2 linked regions of the Anolis sagrei genome follow. The protein of the gene in region 1 interacts with the protein of each later gene in a pairwise test. Links are inferred from orthologs where the notes say so. Each region holds a gene or a part of one and is shown on either strand. Other genes may lie near its edges.

Region 1 (8,649 bases):
AAGTGCCGTGGTTGGCTCCAGTGCTGGAAACAAATACAAGAATGACAAAATCTTCTGCCTTATAAATTCAGTGTCATGGCAAAATTCATAGTAGTAATCTGTTATAGCTTGGTTTTTTTTGCTATGCGGGAATGGACAGACTCTAGCTAATACAATACTTGTAAATACAGAAATGCAAGAGGTCAAAGGGAAAAGGTTATCGCCCCAAAGATTCTTGGCTCATAGGCAGAATTCAGAAGTTTGTTGCTGGACTTTCTAATATACCGTACACGTGGCCTTAATGTGTACTAATGTGTATACATGCAAACAGAAGTGAGACTAAGTAGGGGAAAATGGTGTGCACAGATAGGGATTTTATTTGCAAGGGAAGCAGATTATTCTAATGGGGGGATTCACATATATATCAGTTTTCCAAAAGACACATATACTGGTTTAGCACTGAAGACTGCTCATATGCATTCATTACAGAAATGGAGAGGACTGCCTAATATAGCCACCTCCCAAGTGCATAAAGGAGTACACAGACTTAATTAACTGGAAGTAAAGCTACACATATAATGAGAGAGTGAGTGAGCTTGTTACATAAATTAGGGAGACAGGTTATTCCATGGAAATAGCAGAGCTGGTGATTCTCTTTCTCGTGGGGGAAAGAGCTCTAACACAGCTTTCCAGAACCTGATATTCCTACAAACAGTGTCTTCTGGAATCCAAACAATGGATTGTTGTGGAGGTGATTGTCGATTGGAGCAGAATACACCACTCTGAGCATAAAACAAGTAAGTATGTCCGAGTCACTATCTGTAATGGAAAAAATATAACTAGAGGGAATAAATTTGACTCAGTATAAAATAGCTTCCTCTTCGTAGGGATTATGCAACATTATACAGATCTGAGCTGGATACACACATTTTTCCATTATACATATATACAGTGTTCCCTCACTTATTGCGGGTGTTACATTCCAGGACCACCCGTGATAAGTGAAAATCCACAATGTAGGGATGCTATATATTTATACCACATTCCGAGGGTGAGGCAGAAGTGAGGAGAGATTTAAAGGTACCGCACACCTTTTTTTGCTAGCTATCTTTGCTTTGCTTTGCAATCTCTCTTGATTAGCTGCCTCTCTCCTGAGGGGGAGGGTGAAACCCCCTTCCACACTCCATCGTTGCCAGGAGGTGGGATTAGAATGCCACTCTGGGCAACGGCAAACATTCATAAACTGGGGGCAAAAAACCGTGAAACAGCGAAGTTTGCGAAAAGCGAACCGCAAAGTAGCGAGGGAACACTGTACATGTTTTGGACAGCTCCAAGGGGCCTGTTCTTCACCTAATTTATAACGTTGAAAATATGCTTCTGCCTTCTACATTAGTGAGTAGAGGTAGACATAGGTCTGACATAGGTCTGAATTCAATTGTTTGCTCCAACTAATGTAGCCTTGTGGAATCAATGATCTCACATAAGTATTGACTCCCCAAATTCGCATTCATTCATTATGTCTACATTTGCTAGGATTAACAACTGGACGTAGTTCATAGTGATTCAGCCGGAACTGAAAGATGTGTGTCATGGAAAGGGAGGAATCTTGTGGGACCTGTAAGACTAACTTATTTCAATGTTTGAAAAAGTGGTCTGGAGTCCATGAAAAATGCAACCACAAGATTTCTCTATACCACATATTAACACAGTAGACCATGAATAGGCAAACCCAGGTCATATCCTTCCTTCCTTCCCTCTTTCTTTCCTCCACCCCTCTCTCTTTCTCCCTTCTTCCTTTCCTTCCACCCTTTCGTCTTTCCTTCCTCCTTTCTTTCTTTCCTCCCTCCCTCCTTCTCTCTCCTCCTTTCTCCTATCTTCCTTCTCCTTTGTCTTTCCTTCCTTCTCTCCTCCCTCCCTTCCCTTTCTCCCTCTCCCTAGTACCTTCCACCCTTTTGTCCTTCCTTCCTTCTCTCTTTCCTCCCCCCCTCTCTCCCTTTCTCCTTTCTCTTTTGTCTTTCCTTCTCTCCTCCCCCCGTTTCCCTCCATTCCCTTCCACCCTTCCTTCCATCTTTCTCTTCCTATCTTTTTTCCTTTTCTTGTTCCTTCCTCCTTTCCTCCTGGGGGATGTTTAGCTGAGAGGAGAGAAGGTAGAATCCCCTTGGGGAAATAGGGCAGGTTATAAATACAGTCTTATTATTATAATAGAGAGAGAACACAAGAGCCATGTTTCAAGATTGAGGAGGAGGGGAAAACTGATTTTCTACTGCTCTAGAGACCAGGACACAAGGGAGCAATGGTTTAAAATGGCAGGGAAAGATATTTGACTGAAAAGAACTTCCTAAGAGTAAGAGCTGTTGGAGAGTAGCATAGGCTGCCTCTGAGTGTGGTGGAGTCTCCTTCTCTGGAGGCTTTTACACAAGGGTTGTCTATTGGGAGTGCTTTGATTGTGCCTTCCTGCATGGCAGGGGGATGGACTGGATGGCCCTTGGGGGTCTCTTTCAGTGCTTGGATTCTATATCAGGAGTAGGCAATACGGGGTCGAATGTATATACTTTTTCTCTCCAGTCCACCATCTCATCCTGACCAAGACCAACCCTTTTGGGATCCAAACGTTTCCTGTCTTTCCTTCACTTTCTGCCTTTGAAAGAGAAGAGGAAGGGGAGGAAAGGGCAGGAAGGGGACTTGGGGAGAACCCCCTTCCTCCTGGCCCACCATGTGGCCCCCAAGTTAGAAAGTTTGCCCATGCCTTCAGTAGTCTCTCAGTCAATCTGAAGCCAAGCAACTGGAACTCTCAAGCAACTGGCAAAAAAAAAGTCAAAAAACTAAAACATCAAATGTAAAAAGCTGTTTTTATAATATAGTAAAATACTAAAACTGTGTTACGTTAAGTTTGTCTTTACTGTTTTAATTTTAATTTCTGCATTTGAATATTAATATCAAATCAATACAAAGTTTATGGTATGGCTTGGCACAACTAGGGATATAGTATCAGTTAGGCCTATTTTGAATAATAATTCTCAAGGAATAAAAAACTATATTTATCTGGCAGCTGCCAATCCCTGTGGTTTCTGGTTAACTGGGAAGCTACTAAATTACGTACCTATTTATCTGAAAGCTGCTGCAATATCTTTAAAGGCTTTTAAACTTTTAAAGAAAAAACACTGTGAGCTACTTCAAGGAGTAAATGTTTAAAAATTAAAAAAAATATGATATATGAACAAGCATTTCCAAACCTCAAACAAAATATAGATCTTAAGGCTAAAAGTTGAGTATTTCCCATGTGTAAAAAAAGAAAAAAAGAAAATAGCCTTCCTGAATATCTTACCAAGGTTTGGCTTGCCTGTGTACAGCTTCTCAGAGAGAAAGCTGTGATCTCTGAAGCTTTGCACTGTGTTCCCCATGGCAATGATGGACACCATAACTAGCCAGCTACGGAGCACATTCAGGAAACGGCTCATCTTGCATCACACAACCTGCTCAGGGGAACAAAGGCAGATTCTGGAGTTCATGATACCACTCTGCATCATAATTCATAGTCACATTAACTATCCTCCACCAAATGTTTGCATACTTATCTCCTAGATCAGTCGACCAAGAGTGGGAATCATTGAATTCCCCAGATGTTGCAGAACTGCAATTCCCAGCATTCCTTACAATTGCTTAAGTTGTTATCACAGCTGGGAATTGCATTGCAGCAACATCTGGAGAACCACAAATGTTCACCTTCAGAATGGACCTTTGGAGGGGGAAAACCACAGTTACATCCACCACTTTCTATAAGGATCACCTAATTAAAAAGATCATGCTCCATAATAAAGACAAAGGACCTCATCACACTAGAGCATGTATCCACTTTAAATCCAGTTTTTGCCTCCTGCAGAATTCTGGGACTTGTAGTTTAGGGGGGGGGCTTTACACTGTTCAGCCAGACACGTCCTGGGCCTCACTAAACTACAAACCCCAGAATTCTGCAGGAGGTGGATTTAAGGTGGATCCATGCTCTGGTGTGATGAGGCTGAAAGACAGAAACCTTATATCTCATCTACTGAGATATTGGCATGAGGTTAGTTACTGAATTGTCTCTGGTACCATTTCTGTACTGACCTAATTTGGGGGGAGGCGTAGCAGAAGCAACATTCAAAAATGCACACAGAGGACTAGTTGCACATCAATGTTGCTAATTCATTTGTTTTATCCCTGCACTCAGGTAGGATACATCTACTCTCTCGACTTAATACACTTTGACAGCACTTTAACTTTCATGGCTCAATGCTATAGAATCATGGGAGTTGTAGTTTTATGAGGTCTTCATTCATCTCTATCAAAGAATGCTGTTATCTCAACCAAACTACACCTTTCAGGATACCAATGCATTGAGCAATGGAAGTTAAAGTGGTTTTAAACTGCATTCATTCTATAATGTAGACACACCAATTTTTCAGTGCATAACAGGGGAGGCCAGATAACTAAGAAAAAAGGAAAGTATCAGGCAAGCAGGTGGATTTTTTTTTTTTTTGCTGTTCCTGATAGCCTGTCTCCTATTTTAATTTTAATATAGGAGCACCCACAGGATGCATATTTAGCAATAATGCACTGGAAACTTACTTTTTAAAAAATTGCAATACATCCCAATACAAAGATATTGCATTTTGGCATGCTGGAAACACCTAGCGACCATGATGTCCATCATCCTTGTCAAATGTCATTTTCTCTTGACAACTCTAATATTACCTGCCACCTGTTCCCTAACTTCATAACACCAACCCATCCACAGGGCAGTCCTCCATATGCAGCCCCCCCATCAAGGAATACCTCTATGCCTACCTTGCTCTTTAACAGGTTGTCTACCTGGTTCCCAGAGGCAGCAAGCTTTCCACCCTACCTCCAACCCAAGGAGCTGTAGCCACGCCCCCTTCGCTGCCTGCGCAATGATTGGCCCGCTGTCAGGGTTGTCGTTCTCCTGATTGGTTGTCACCTCCCACTCCAAGTCTTAGCCCCGCGCCACGCGAATGGCTGAACGGATAGGTCAATCAAATATTTTGAAAGCGATTGGGCCGTTGTGACGTCAACACAGAAGGGGCGGTTCGATGAGGCAAATTGCACCACTGCCCTCCCTTCCTGGTTATAAAAGGATATTGGACGGCGCCATATTGGAAGAGGCATGTGGAAATGAATGAGGGGGGATTGGATAGGTGCGCATGCGCAACTGGGGAAAGCGCCTCGGGCGGGAGTGAGGAGCCTGCGCTTGCGCAGACGCGCCTTCGATGAGGGAGCGAGCGAGGGAGGGAGGAAGGCGGTTGCTGGTTGGTTGTTGTAGTAACAGAGCGAAGCGCCGGCAAGAGGAGCCGCGGCTGCCGGGCCCTCCAGGGAGATGAAGCCGCAGGTAAGGGCGCCACGGGCTTCAGGAGCGGCAGAGTGGGCACTCACCCTCGGGAGGCTCCCAGGAGGAGGGCAGCAGGCGGTGTCTCCTACTCCCTCAAAGGTCCTGGGCCTGTCCTGAGGGGGGAACGGGGAGCAGCCTGCTTTGGCCCAGAAGAGAGAGGCCGCTCAGGGACACGGCAACACGGGCGGGAGGGGGAAGCGACTTGGTTGGACTACAACTCCCAGAATCCCCAAGTCCCCACGCTAGATTCAGTATCTATAGTGTTTATTTATTATTTATTTATTTACTTTGATTATATACCGCTGTATCTCAAGCCCGAAGGCGACTCACGGCGGTTCACAAACAGTAAAAACAGTAGAAACAGCAGTGGTTCCATACAACATATAACAATTGACTTAACACATTATCCATAAATTACCAATAAGCAATTACAATGCACAATTATTACAAAAAACAACCGTACCCAATCTTCTCATCATCCAAGCGTAGTCCAGGTTCGTCGTCCATTGTTCCATTCCTATGTTCCATTACCAGATTGCACTAAATTACTCAAACGCCTGCACAAACATCCAGGTCTTCACCTTTTTGCGGAATACCATTAGAGATGGTGCTAGTCTAATGTCCGTAGGAAGGGCGTTCCACAGGCGAGGAGCCACCACCGAGAAGGCCCTATCTCTCGTCCCCGCCAGCCAAGCTTGAGAAGCAGGCGGGATCGAGAGCAGGGTCTCCCCGGAAGATCTCAAACTCCTGGTGGGTTCATAGGCAGAGATGCGGTCAGATAGGTAGCTTGGGCCGGAACCGTTTAGGGCTTTAAAGGCCAACGCCAGCACTTTGAATTCAGCCCGGTAGCAGATCGGTAGCCAGTGGAGTTGGCGCAACAGGGGGGTTGTATGCTCCCTGCGCTCCGCTCCTGTTAAAATCATGGCTGCCGAGTGTTGGACTAGTTGGAGCTTCCGAGCTGTCTTCAAAGGCAACCCCACGTAGAGAGCGTTGCAGTAGTCTAAACGGGATGTAACCAGAGCGTGGACTACTGTGGCCAAGTCAGACTTCCCAAGGTATGGGCGCAGCTGGCGCACAAGCTTTAGCTGTGCAAATGCTCCCCTGGTCACCGCCGAAACCTGGGGTTCCAGGCTCAGCGATGAGTCCAGGGTCATACCCAAGCTGCGAACCTGCATCTTCAGGGGGAGTGCGGCCCCATCCAACACGTGTTTAACATAGATTTAACATAGATCAAGTGTTTAACATAGATTTCAAATTATGTAAACAAAACACAGTATAACCCAGGCATGGGCAAACGTGGGCCCTCCAGGTATATTGGACTCCAACTCCCACAATTCCTAACAGCCGGTAGGAAAAGTGTTCCTGCCATACATCAAGGGAACCACTGACCGCATAGGGAAACTGATGAGGAAACACAACATACAAACAATCTACAAATCTCACTGTACACTGTCTTCTTTGTTGTTGTTCACCGCCCCGAGTCGCCTTCGGGCTGAGAGGGGCGGTCAATAAATGCAAGAAATAAATAAATAATAAATAATACAAACCCACCAAGAAAATCCAACAAATGCTACGTTCAGCAAAGGACAAGAGGGATCCTCTCACCTCTGCAGGAGTCTACCGTATACCATGCAGCTGTGGACAAGTCTACATAGGGACCACCAAACGCAGCGCCCAGACACGCATCAAGGAACATGAAAGGCACTGCAGACTACTTCAACCAGAGAAGTCAGCTATAGCAGAGCACCTGATGAACCAGCCTGGACACAGCATATTATTTGAGAACACAAAAATGCTGGACCACTCTCACATCCACCATGCCAGACTACACAGGGAAGCCATTGAAATCCACAAACATGTGGACAATTTCAACAGAAAGGAAGAAACCATGAAAATGAACAAAATCAGGCTACCAGTATTAAAAAATTCTAAAATTGCAACACCAAAAAAGAGAGAAAAACAGGCAGGGACATCTAATCACCTTTCAAGAAGAGTTTGCTCCAGGCACAGTCAGCCCATTGTATGCTAATCAAGGTGGTCAGTTGAAAGATTCACACCTAGCCCAAACTTACAAAAGCCCTGTGTCTCACCCTGGTCATTCCACAGATATATAAACCCCTTTTTTCCCCAGTTCCAGCAGACCTCACCTCTGAGGATGCTTGCCATACATGCAGGCGAAACGTCAGGAGAAATGCCTCTAGAACATGGCCATATAGCCCGAAAAAACCCACAAGAACTGAGCTGGTAGGAATTGTGGGAGTTGAAGTCCAAAACACCTGGAGGGCCCAAGTTTGCCCATGCCTGATATAACCACACTTGGTCTCTCCAGGTGTTTTGGACTTCAGCTCCCACAGTTCCTAACAGCCTGTAGGAAATGTTAATCATTTCCACTACCTTGGCAGCCACCTCTCCACAAAAGTCAACATTGACACTGAAATACAACACCGCCTGAGCTCTGCGAGTGCAGGTTTTTTTCCGAATGAAGCAGAGAGTGTTTGAGGGCCGGGACATCCGTAGGGATACCAAGGTGCTTGTTTATAAAGTTATTGTCTTCTCAACCCTGCTATACACCTGCGAGACATGGACTGTCTACAGAAGTCACATGCAACTCTTGGAACGATTCCATCAGCGCTGCCTCCGGAAAATCCTGCAAATCTCTTGGGAAGACAAGCGGACAAATGTCATCGTGTTGGAAGAAGCAAATACTGCCAGCATTGTAACCCGGGACCGAAGGCTGGAGACCTCAGTACACTATACCTGGGACGTCGACCTCTTCCACCGAGCGCGCAGCTTCGGGAGGGACGCACATGGAGGTGAGGGAGGAAGGGGACACCTGCCTAGCCAGCCAGATCAGCCGAATCAACCCTGGCGATCAGTGGGGTGACAGATGTCGCAGCCAGATCGCCCTCACATCCCTGCCAGCATCGAAGCAATGGTCCTCCGCCATCAACTCTGCTGGACCGGCCATGTTGTCCGGATGCCTGACCACCATCTCCCAAAGCAGTTGCTCTGCTCTGAACTCAAGAACAGAAAATGGAATGTTGGTGGGCAGGAAAAGAAATTTAAAGATGGGCTCAAAGCCAATCTTAAAAATTCTGGCATAGACACTGAGAACTGAGAAGCTCCAGCCCTTGAGCGCTCCAACTGGAGTCAGCTGTGACCAGCAGTGCTGTAGAATTTGAAGAGGCATGAATGGAGGGCAAAAGAGGGAAGCGTCCCAAGAGGAAGGCGTGTCAAGCCAACCCCTTCAGGACCGCCTTCCACCTGGAAACCAATACCCTCACTGC
Region 2 (8,649 bases), on another chromosome or scaffold:
GAGAGTTTAAACCTGTGACGCATTTGTACTACTGGATGCAATAAAATATGCTTGAATGCTGAACTTTCAAATATTTGAATGATCAGATTTTTTGATATAGCCTGCCTGGCTTGCAAGTTGATATGGCTGTAAATTGTATCTGCATAATCTGGGATCTGCCAAGCTGAACACAACTCACCAGCTAGGTACCCTGAATGATCAACTGCTGGAAAACCTGTTTTTATTCTTTGTCAAGCAAGCAGGGAAAAAAGAGGTTAATTGCTCATTTGCAGGCTACCATCTGCGGCTGACTGTATTTGTGTTTTAACATGGATTGAATATTGAGTCATTTCTTGGCCTTCTATTTTCCAGATAAAACATACCTAGCTCCCTCAGCTTCTCCTCACAGAACTTGGGTGTTCTTGGGCAAGTCACATTCTCTTAACCTCAGAAGAAGGCAAATGCAGTCTCCCTCTGAAGTTCAGAGTCTGAACAAATCTCACCAAGAAATCCCCATGACAGGTTTACTTTAGGATTACCATAAGTCAGAAATGTCTTGAAGGCACAAAACAACAAAGTCATCAAGTAGCTTCTCCAACAAACAGCAACAATATTTAAGTTTGTTTCATGTCAGTAATGACTTGAGAAAATGCAAGTCACTTCTGGTGTGAGAGAATTGGCCATCTGCAAGTATATTGCCCAGGGGGCACACGGATGTTTTGATGTTTTACCATCCTTGTGAGAGGCTTCTCTCATATCCCCGTATGGGAAGCTGGAGCTGACAGTGGGAGCTCATCCATGCTCTCCCTGGATTTGAACCTCCAACCTGTCAGTCTTCAGTCCTGCCGGCACAAGGGTTTAACCCATTGCATCACCACAAAGTGTTATCTTATGAGTTACAGCTAAAGTCCTGACACATGCTAATAAATTATAATATACTTTTCAGTTGATTTCCCCACCCACAAGGTACATTCAAGCATGTGTGAATGGCCGCCCATCAAAAGCTCTGGATATTACTTTTTGCTGCTTGCTTGGGGTGACACAAAAACAGGGGTGTTCAGTAGCACTTTATAGGCTATGATACTGTGCTGCTGAATTGTGTTCAGCTTGGTGGGTTGCTTGTTATGCAGTCCTGAAGCATGAAGCCATATCTGCTTACAAGCCAAGCGTGACTATATCAAGAATCTGACAATTTGGGTATTCACAAGTTCTGTATTTATGTATGTTTTATTTTGTCCAGCTGAGCAAGTGCGTCAAGAGATAAAAATCTTTGTTATTGCTACAAGGCTAGTGATATTGCAAATGGTGCTGTTACCCAATGGCTCATAGCGACATCCTACACAACATTAAAAGAAATCAAAATGTAATTAGAAGTTGTAAATTGGTTGCAAAATTGTGAGTGGCCTCCATCCACCCTTTAGAACACCCATCAAGACATATGATTGGATGTGCATACATAGTTTTCTGGCATTTTATTTCTCACATGACTGCTTCCTTCATAGCTATCGCAACTGTAGTCTTTCTCTCCTCTGCTGCCACTACCTGTACCACCATAGTTCTGCTACTGTAGATCAATAATATTCCAACCATGGTCATCAAGGTATTTGGGCTGCCTTTGGTACTGACTGATGCTAGGTTTTCAGATCTGGTGAAAGTGGAAAATGAGCATTCATGACACTCCAAGAAGGGTAGTTATCAGAAGCAACTTTCAAAGGGCCCTTCCAGACAGGCCCTATATTCCAGGATCTGATCTCAGGTTTTCTTTTTATCTCAGATTATCTGGCAGTGAGGACACATATAATCCAGTTTAAAGCAGAAAACCTGGGATCAGATCTTGGGGTATAGAGCCTGTCTGGAAAGGCTCAAAGAGCATTATAGGACTGAAAAGGCAGCAATTGTACAAAAACGATATTTCCTGCCAGCACAGATGCCTAGCAGCCTGGATTTAGCATGCAAGTTGATAAATAGCATGGAAAACAGGTTTATTTTAAATCCTAAACCAACCCTGTTCCAATTATTCAAAATGAGGTTGCTGCCAAAATTGTGGGAGAGAATGTCACAAAGTTCAAGAAAATTTCAAGAGACTGAGTTATCTCTTGAAATTGAGTAAGAGATCCCACCACCTTTGTTTTCATGTCCTGACTTTAGTGTCTTCCACACATTCAAAGCAATCTAGAAATATGCAGTTATTAAAATTTCCCCAATACAGATATAGAAGAATGGAGAAAATGGCACTTGCAGCATTTCTATGTGCCCTTCCACACTACAAAATATACCATAAAGATTCCATCTTAAATGACAAAGCTCCACCCAGTGTCCTATGATTTGCAGTTGAGACCCCTCAGCCAGGGAGCCCTTCTGATGCTTCTGGTTAAACCACAAGTCCCAAAAATTCTGTAGGATGCAGCCATGGAAATTTAATAGGAAAAACCTCTAACTATGTGGTGTGAAAGGGCTCTCTGCTTGCTCCTCAGTTGTTAAAGATGACATCTGTGAGGTAGAAATTACTTAAATGCATTTACTCATTGGTTGTTAGTGGTTTCCACATAAAGGGAGTGGTGAACCAGGCTCAGGTTTTAGTTTAAATCTTAAAGGAATGATCCAAAATGATGGAACTGTTTGTGGCATGTGGTTCAGCACTTTGGACAGTTCAGACCCATAGTGCTGACATGAAAATCATCAATTGCCACTATAACTCATATTGTAGTACGAAGAGAGCAGAACTCTACATACACAGAGAAGATCTTTCAGAAGGTCCCAGGAAAGGGCGGCAAGGGAAACACTATGAATGAGGTAGATGGGGATCAATTGGTAAGAATTTTCATCACCTTGTGATTTCACCACATTGAACCCCCCCCCCTCAATTAATATGGTAAATGCAAAATATTTTGGGGCAGGAATTAGATCTATATGTGAAAGTAACACACTGCAAAAACTAATGTTCTGATACCAAAAACTAAGTCTGCTTAGATTGCCCAGGTTTAGTGGTACTGTTGATCTTTGAAGTCAAAGGATTTCAGGTTTCTTCCCTACTTTCTTCCCTTTCCAATCAAAAGTTTCCCAGGTAGAGAGCAGGACTGGGAAATGAATGATATCTGACTGAGAATTTTGGAGAACATGTGATAGAAAGTATTTCGGGAATGCAAAACAGAGGAAATCTGTTCTGTTTTTGTTTTGAATGTGTTCCCCCAATTCTGTTTTCATGAAAATTCCAGGAGATTAGGAGGGGGCCATTCGGATTCGTAATCTGGAACCCTGAGTTCCGTTTTCATTTTTATAAGATTTGGTCCATTGGCACCAATGGGAAAATTTTAGAGGCTAATTTCTCGATCATTTTTATGGCTATGAGGATTAAACATTGCACATTTGTAGGGCATGAAATGTTTCAGGATGTTTCGCTCGTTCACTGATGTTTTGAAAAAAAATTTTTTACAAATACCATTTTTAAAAAAACCCAGAAGATTTTTTTTAAATTTACCCATAGTGACGGAATATGAGTAGGACATCATTCCAGGAAAGTTTCAGAAAGATCTGGTCATCCACTGACTTTTAAGGATTTTCTTCAATAGCTGAAGCAGCATTATCTCTCAGTTGGAGCAATGGGTCTGAGTGCAGACATATGTGTTGCATCACATGGTCTGACTCAGCTACTCTCAGGCTTGTTTTACTCTCCATTGTCCTGGACTTCAAGTCCAAGAATTCCCTGGGTTTTTTTTCGTGCAAGGTGTCCCCTCCTCTCAGTCTGAGAGAGCGATTTTTTTTAAAAAAATCCTAAAAATCAATGGATGGCCACATGTTTTTAAAACTTTGCAGGATTGATGCCCTACTCATTTTCTGTCACTGTGAGTAATTTTTGTTGAAATAATTTTTTATTTGCTATAAAGAATGACATATAGTTTCCAAGTAAAGTGGGGGAACATAGTATTTTGAAGAAAAATGGGAAAGCAAGGAGATAGAAGTAAAGCAAAAAAAAAGGACAAAGTATGTATATATAAAAATGGGAAATTTTTAAAAATACCTCTTTTTGGTTTTGTTTTTTTAAAAAAATATTTGTAAAAACTTTTAAAAATTTCCAAAAAAAAATGGATAAGTGAAACATTCTGAAATATGGCAAGCTTACAGCTATAAATGTGCCCTACAGGTGTAGTAAGTTTAATCCTGATAGTAAATTATTTCCCAATTCTCTGAGGCTGAGAGAGTGTGACACACCCATGGTGCTTAAATTGGGGGTCCTCTTAGGGGAAACTCTAGAGGCTTATTTCTCCATCATTTTTATGACTATCAGGATTAAACTTCCATGGAAACCAAGGGGAAAATTAGTATCCTTGCTTTCTTTTAAAATTAAGCTGTGTGAAGAATCGTCTTTAATTTACTAGAGGGTATTTTGAACATCCCACCACCATAGTCCTTCATCCCTCCCACTTCTGTGGATAGTTAGTTTCCTTACCCTGTTGATGGCCAAGTTCCCTCGGATATGGGGCGGTGTGAGTTGATGCAAGAGGGCAGCTCCTGTCACTGCTCCCAGAATCTGTGCCACCACATAGAAGACTGCTCTCAAGAAGGAGACCTGAGAGCCCACCAGACATGCCACAGTCACAGCAGGGTTAATATGGGCTCCACTGATGTGGCCCAAGGTCTGGACCAAGGTTGCAATAGCCAAGCCAAAGGCCAGTGAAATCTGGAGGACATTTGGTGGGGATGAAGGCCAGTTCAAAGCCGAGCCAAGGCCAAAAAAGATAAAAATCAGCGTGGCTATGAATTCTGCAAAGACTGCACGAGTGAAAGCCACGGAGCGAAGTTCCCACATCATTGGTGAGGGCTGTGTAGGAGAGTGGAAGCTGATCTCTCAGCTCACTTCTCTGTGGTAATAAATAATAGTAGATCCTGGAAGGATACTGGAGTTTTTCAATTTCTCCTTCCTTGTATGTACTACATATGCTTATGCATAATATATATGCATGCAGAATAGCTAGAGATCTCCAAGAGGAGGTGGGGTTTGGATACATAATGCCTTTTCTTTCCTGTTCTAGCTGAAGAGTTTTCAGACCCTGCCTTCTTCTCTCATAACTTGAAAAATTAGCATTTGACTTTCCAATACTGAACTACTGTGTGCATGTAGTAGTCCTAAGTGAGTCAAACACCAGTCCGTATACTGAGATGCAGACCTCCAACACCACTCCACCATCATGATCTGATGAACTTAGCCATTTTTTCAGATTTGTCCTTGTCTATTTTATGTTTGTGCATTTAGCAAGTGTTTCCATTTACTCATTTTATGCTTAGTTTTGAGCCTTCTGGAGCAGGTGTATGGGTGCACATGCCTCAGCATGCCCTGTTTGGCATTACACCACCAATTGGGCATTTGCTGACCTACTGACCTCCTTCCATCAATCTGTTTCTGATGGGAACACAGTGTTTCATTGATTTCATCACTTGAGAGCTGTCATTTTAGCTTTCCCACAATGGAGTGTCCCATGACACTGGTGGCTGCTAGATTGGTTAGGGGGCATTATAAAAATCTTTGTCAAGGGCCCTTAAACACTTTATTTATTTTACAGATTATCATGTGGGACTCAGTCAACATACCAGGACTAGGGGCTTCAAAATTCAAGTTCCAGAGATAAATGATTAGCCTCTAGAATACAGAAAACCATCTGCATTCAAAGAATGCCAGATTCACATCCAAGAGACCCTTAATATATTAGTTGTAAATCTTCTAACCTTGGATTTAACTCAACTGTCATATTCCAATTGTGAATTATAATAAACAAGGATTCCTCCAGATATTTGCCTTTATTACAATAATCTGATAGTGAAATTAATAATTAGTCATGCACATAAGACTTTTCAATTGGATATCTATTTGTCATTCAGACATTATTGCACTGGAATCCTGTGTCAGCTGCTTTGTGTAAAAAAATCCTTTGGAGAAAAGATAATGCTTTTGTTTACAGTTATAACCCACCTTTCCTCTACCTCTCTCAAGTTGGCATGGGTACACTTTATCCATTACTAGGACTGCTAACTCCAACGACCCATAACACAGGAGTGAGAATTATGGATACCATAACATTTCCCCCTTATTGGCTTCTTCTGCTTCAAAAACATGCAGGGCCACATGATTTCCACCACTGCCTTCATGTCATTCATCCACTTTAACTACTTTTGGGTATGCAGTTTGAATCACGTGAGATTATAATTCACTAGACTTGATGGACTCATATAAAGAAAGGAATGCTTTGCAAAAAGAAAAAAAAATCCAAGGGAATTCGTTCTTGAGTAGAGAGAAACGTTGAAAATGTTTTCAAATCTCACTTTAGGACTATTTTTCATTTAATAAATCAATAACTTACACAATAATTTAATTCTGAGCTGGTTCTAGATACCATATCTGAGCAAACTTTATGATGTGTCTGTAAGGCAGGCCAGTATTATTAGACATCTTGTCAATAATAGGTGATGGGCAGAAGTTTAGCGGAGACAACTGAGGTTATACATAGGATGTTGGGAAACTGGAGCATGTTGAAGTAGTACTGTTCAATAAAATAATTTATGAGCTTGTAGCTTCCTATCTTACTGCCTGTTTAATTTTTTTGCCAGGCAACAAGATAGACTGGTCTAGGCTTCTTGAAGGTGTCATTTAGGCTACAATAAAACCACAAATAGATACCTGAATTTTCAGAGTCTATTGACTCTGAGGTCAATCTGCCTCTTCCACTACCATAATCCACCCAGGTTTTTAATCCTGCCCCAGAATTTGATCTTTAGTCTGAGTGCTTTGATTAAATTAGAAAAAGAATCGTGTCCAGGCTAAGCTTTGGCTCTGTTCCTCAAAACTTAATTTCAGGATTCTGCCACTGGCCAATCAGCTTCTTCCTTGTTTCTAGCCATTGTGATTTTCAGTTGTTGTAAATGGCAACTTGTGGTTGGCCTTTAAACTGTGCCACATTCTTTTTCCAGAATCTGAATTTTGCCTTGGAATTTTTCCTCTGTTAATCTAACACCTACCTCTTGACTTACCCCTCCACCAAATCTGAAATCCTAACAACAACAACAACAACAACAACAACAACAACAACAACAACAACAACTTCATTTGTACTCTGCCCATCTCCCTGCAGGACTCATGGTGGCTCACAACATGAAAAATACAATAAGTTACATAAAAATAAACAAATAATAACACATCAAATCACTATAAAAACAAGCTAGATAAACCATAACACAAGTCAACAAAATGAAAAATAAGACATTATAACACATTAGTTAAAAACATAGCCATTCCTATGAGTTAAAAGGACCCTACTATCCAAAACAAAGGCCTTGTCCACATTAAAAGTGTTGACTAATCATTGCCAAAAGACTATTTAAACAGCCTTGTCTTCAAATCCCTCCTAAATGTCATAAGATGATTGTTTTTCTAATCTCTCTGTTCCAGAGCCAGGGGACTACTACTGAGAAGACCCTCTCCCTGGTCCCCATCAGCCTCACTGGCAAGGGGGGAGGGATCGAGAGGACTGATCCAGAGGATATCACCAGGAAGTCGTCATAGCCCAGGGAATTTTCTTTTCTGTTTCAGTATTTTTGACAATACAATAGTATAATTCTAACACATATTGCTAAAATGCACGCAGCTCACTGGGAGTCCATCTATTTGGAAACCCTGCGATTTCATTGGTGCAGACAATACAGTTGCAGATCAAAACTATTTTACACCATGAGTATATTCATAGTTTTATCTAATTCCTCATTTAACTATAAAAGCTCTTTGTAGTTAGCTAAGCTCATATGGTACACATGTAATCTGTAGGTGAGATCTTCTTCGAATCCTTACAAGCTCAGTAGAAAGAGATTGCATTCGACTGATTTGGACAGCCTACAGTCCACCTCTACATCACAAGCATGACTTTGTGCACACTACAATTATACTGCTAGTAAAGCATTCAAAGAGGTGTCAACTCAGGAGGTAAACATCTTGATGCTGCCATGGCTGCAAATTATGTTTTCTGGTCCGATCAGGCCTATAGCATAACTAGAACCATCTCACATTTCCTAGAGGTGCGGTGGCTTTGCCGTTTCAGCATGTAGCTTCTCATGAATGCTTATTTTATTTTACTCTACTTTCCCAAGAGAAAGATAATTTCTTAACACGTAATTGCTGACATTATTGGAATCGGCTTCAGGAAGTATTAAGAAGTAACAAGGAGGCATTGTGGCAATATTAGGATTGAGAGCCCAGTTTAGCTACACTTTGCACATGGATACTTTGTTATAGTTTTAACATAATAGTTTTAACTACACTAATCATATGCTCATGTCTACTCTAGATCTAAGTTTCTTATTTATTTGTTTTTTTAACCCTCTTGTTTGACTTCTTCTCCAGGAAACCTTTATCCACCTTTATCTCATAAAAGAGCAGTTATGGTGTAAGCAATTACATCACTTTTTTTATTTTTCTCCTAATAAGAAACAGTCATGACAACATTTTTTTTCATGTCAGGAGCAACTTGAGAAACTACAAGTCCCTTCTGGTGTGAGAGAATCAACTGTCTGCAAGGACATTGCCCAGGGGATGGTCAGATGTTTTACCATCCTGTGGGAGGCTTCTCTCACATCCTTGCATGAGAAGCTGGGGCTGACAGATGGTAGCTCACCCTGCTCTCTGGATTC

What was found.
Region 2: the proteins of ERG28 (region 1) and AQP2 interact in binary tests that used the Homo sapiens proteins (3 or more experiments, as listed by UniProt). The link is inferred for Anolis sagrei from reciprocal best matches to the Homo sapiens genes ERG28 and AQP2.

Annotation. Positions count from the first base shown.
Region 1 is NC_090021.1:305,422,294-305,430,942, forward strand, and holds the start of ERG28 (ergosterol biosynthetic protein 28 homolog), read right to left. Parts: upstream 4,892-8,649; 5' UTR 4,804-4,891; intron 3,453-4,803; 5' UTR 3,438-3,452; coding exon 3,305-3,437; intron 1-3,304.
Region 2 is NC_090022.1:135,996,878-136,005,526, forward strand, and holds the start of AQP2 (aquaporin-2), read right to left. Parts: upstream 4,824-8,649; 5' UTR 4,790-4,823; coding exon 4,427-4,789; intron 1-4,426. UniProt on the Homo sapiens protein: Forms a water-specific channel that provides the plasma membranes of renal collecting duct with high permeability to water, thereby permitting water to move in the direction of an osmotic gradient. Plays an essential role in renal water homeostasis.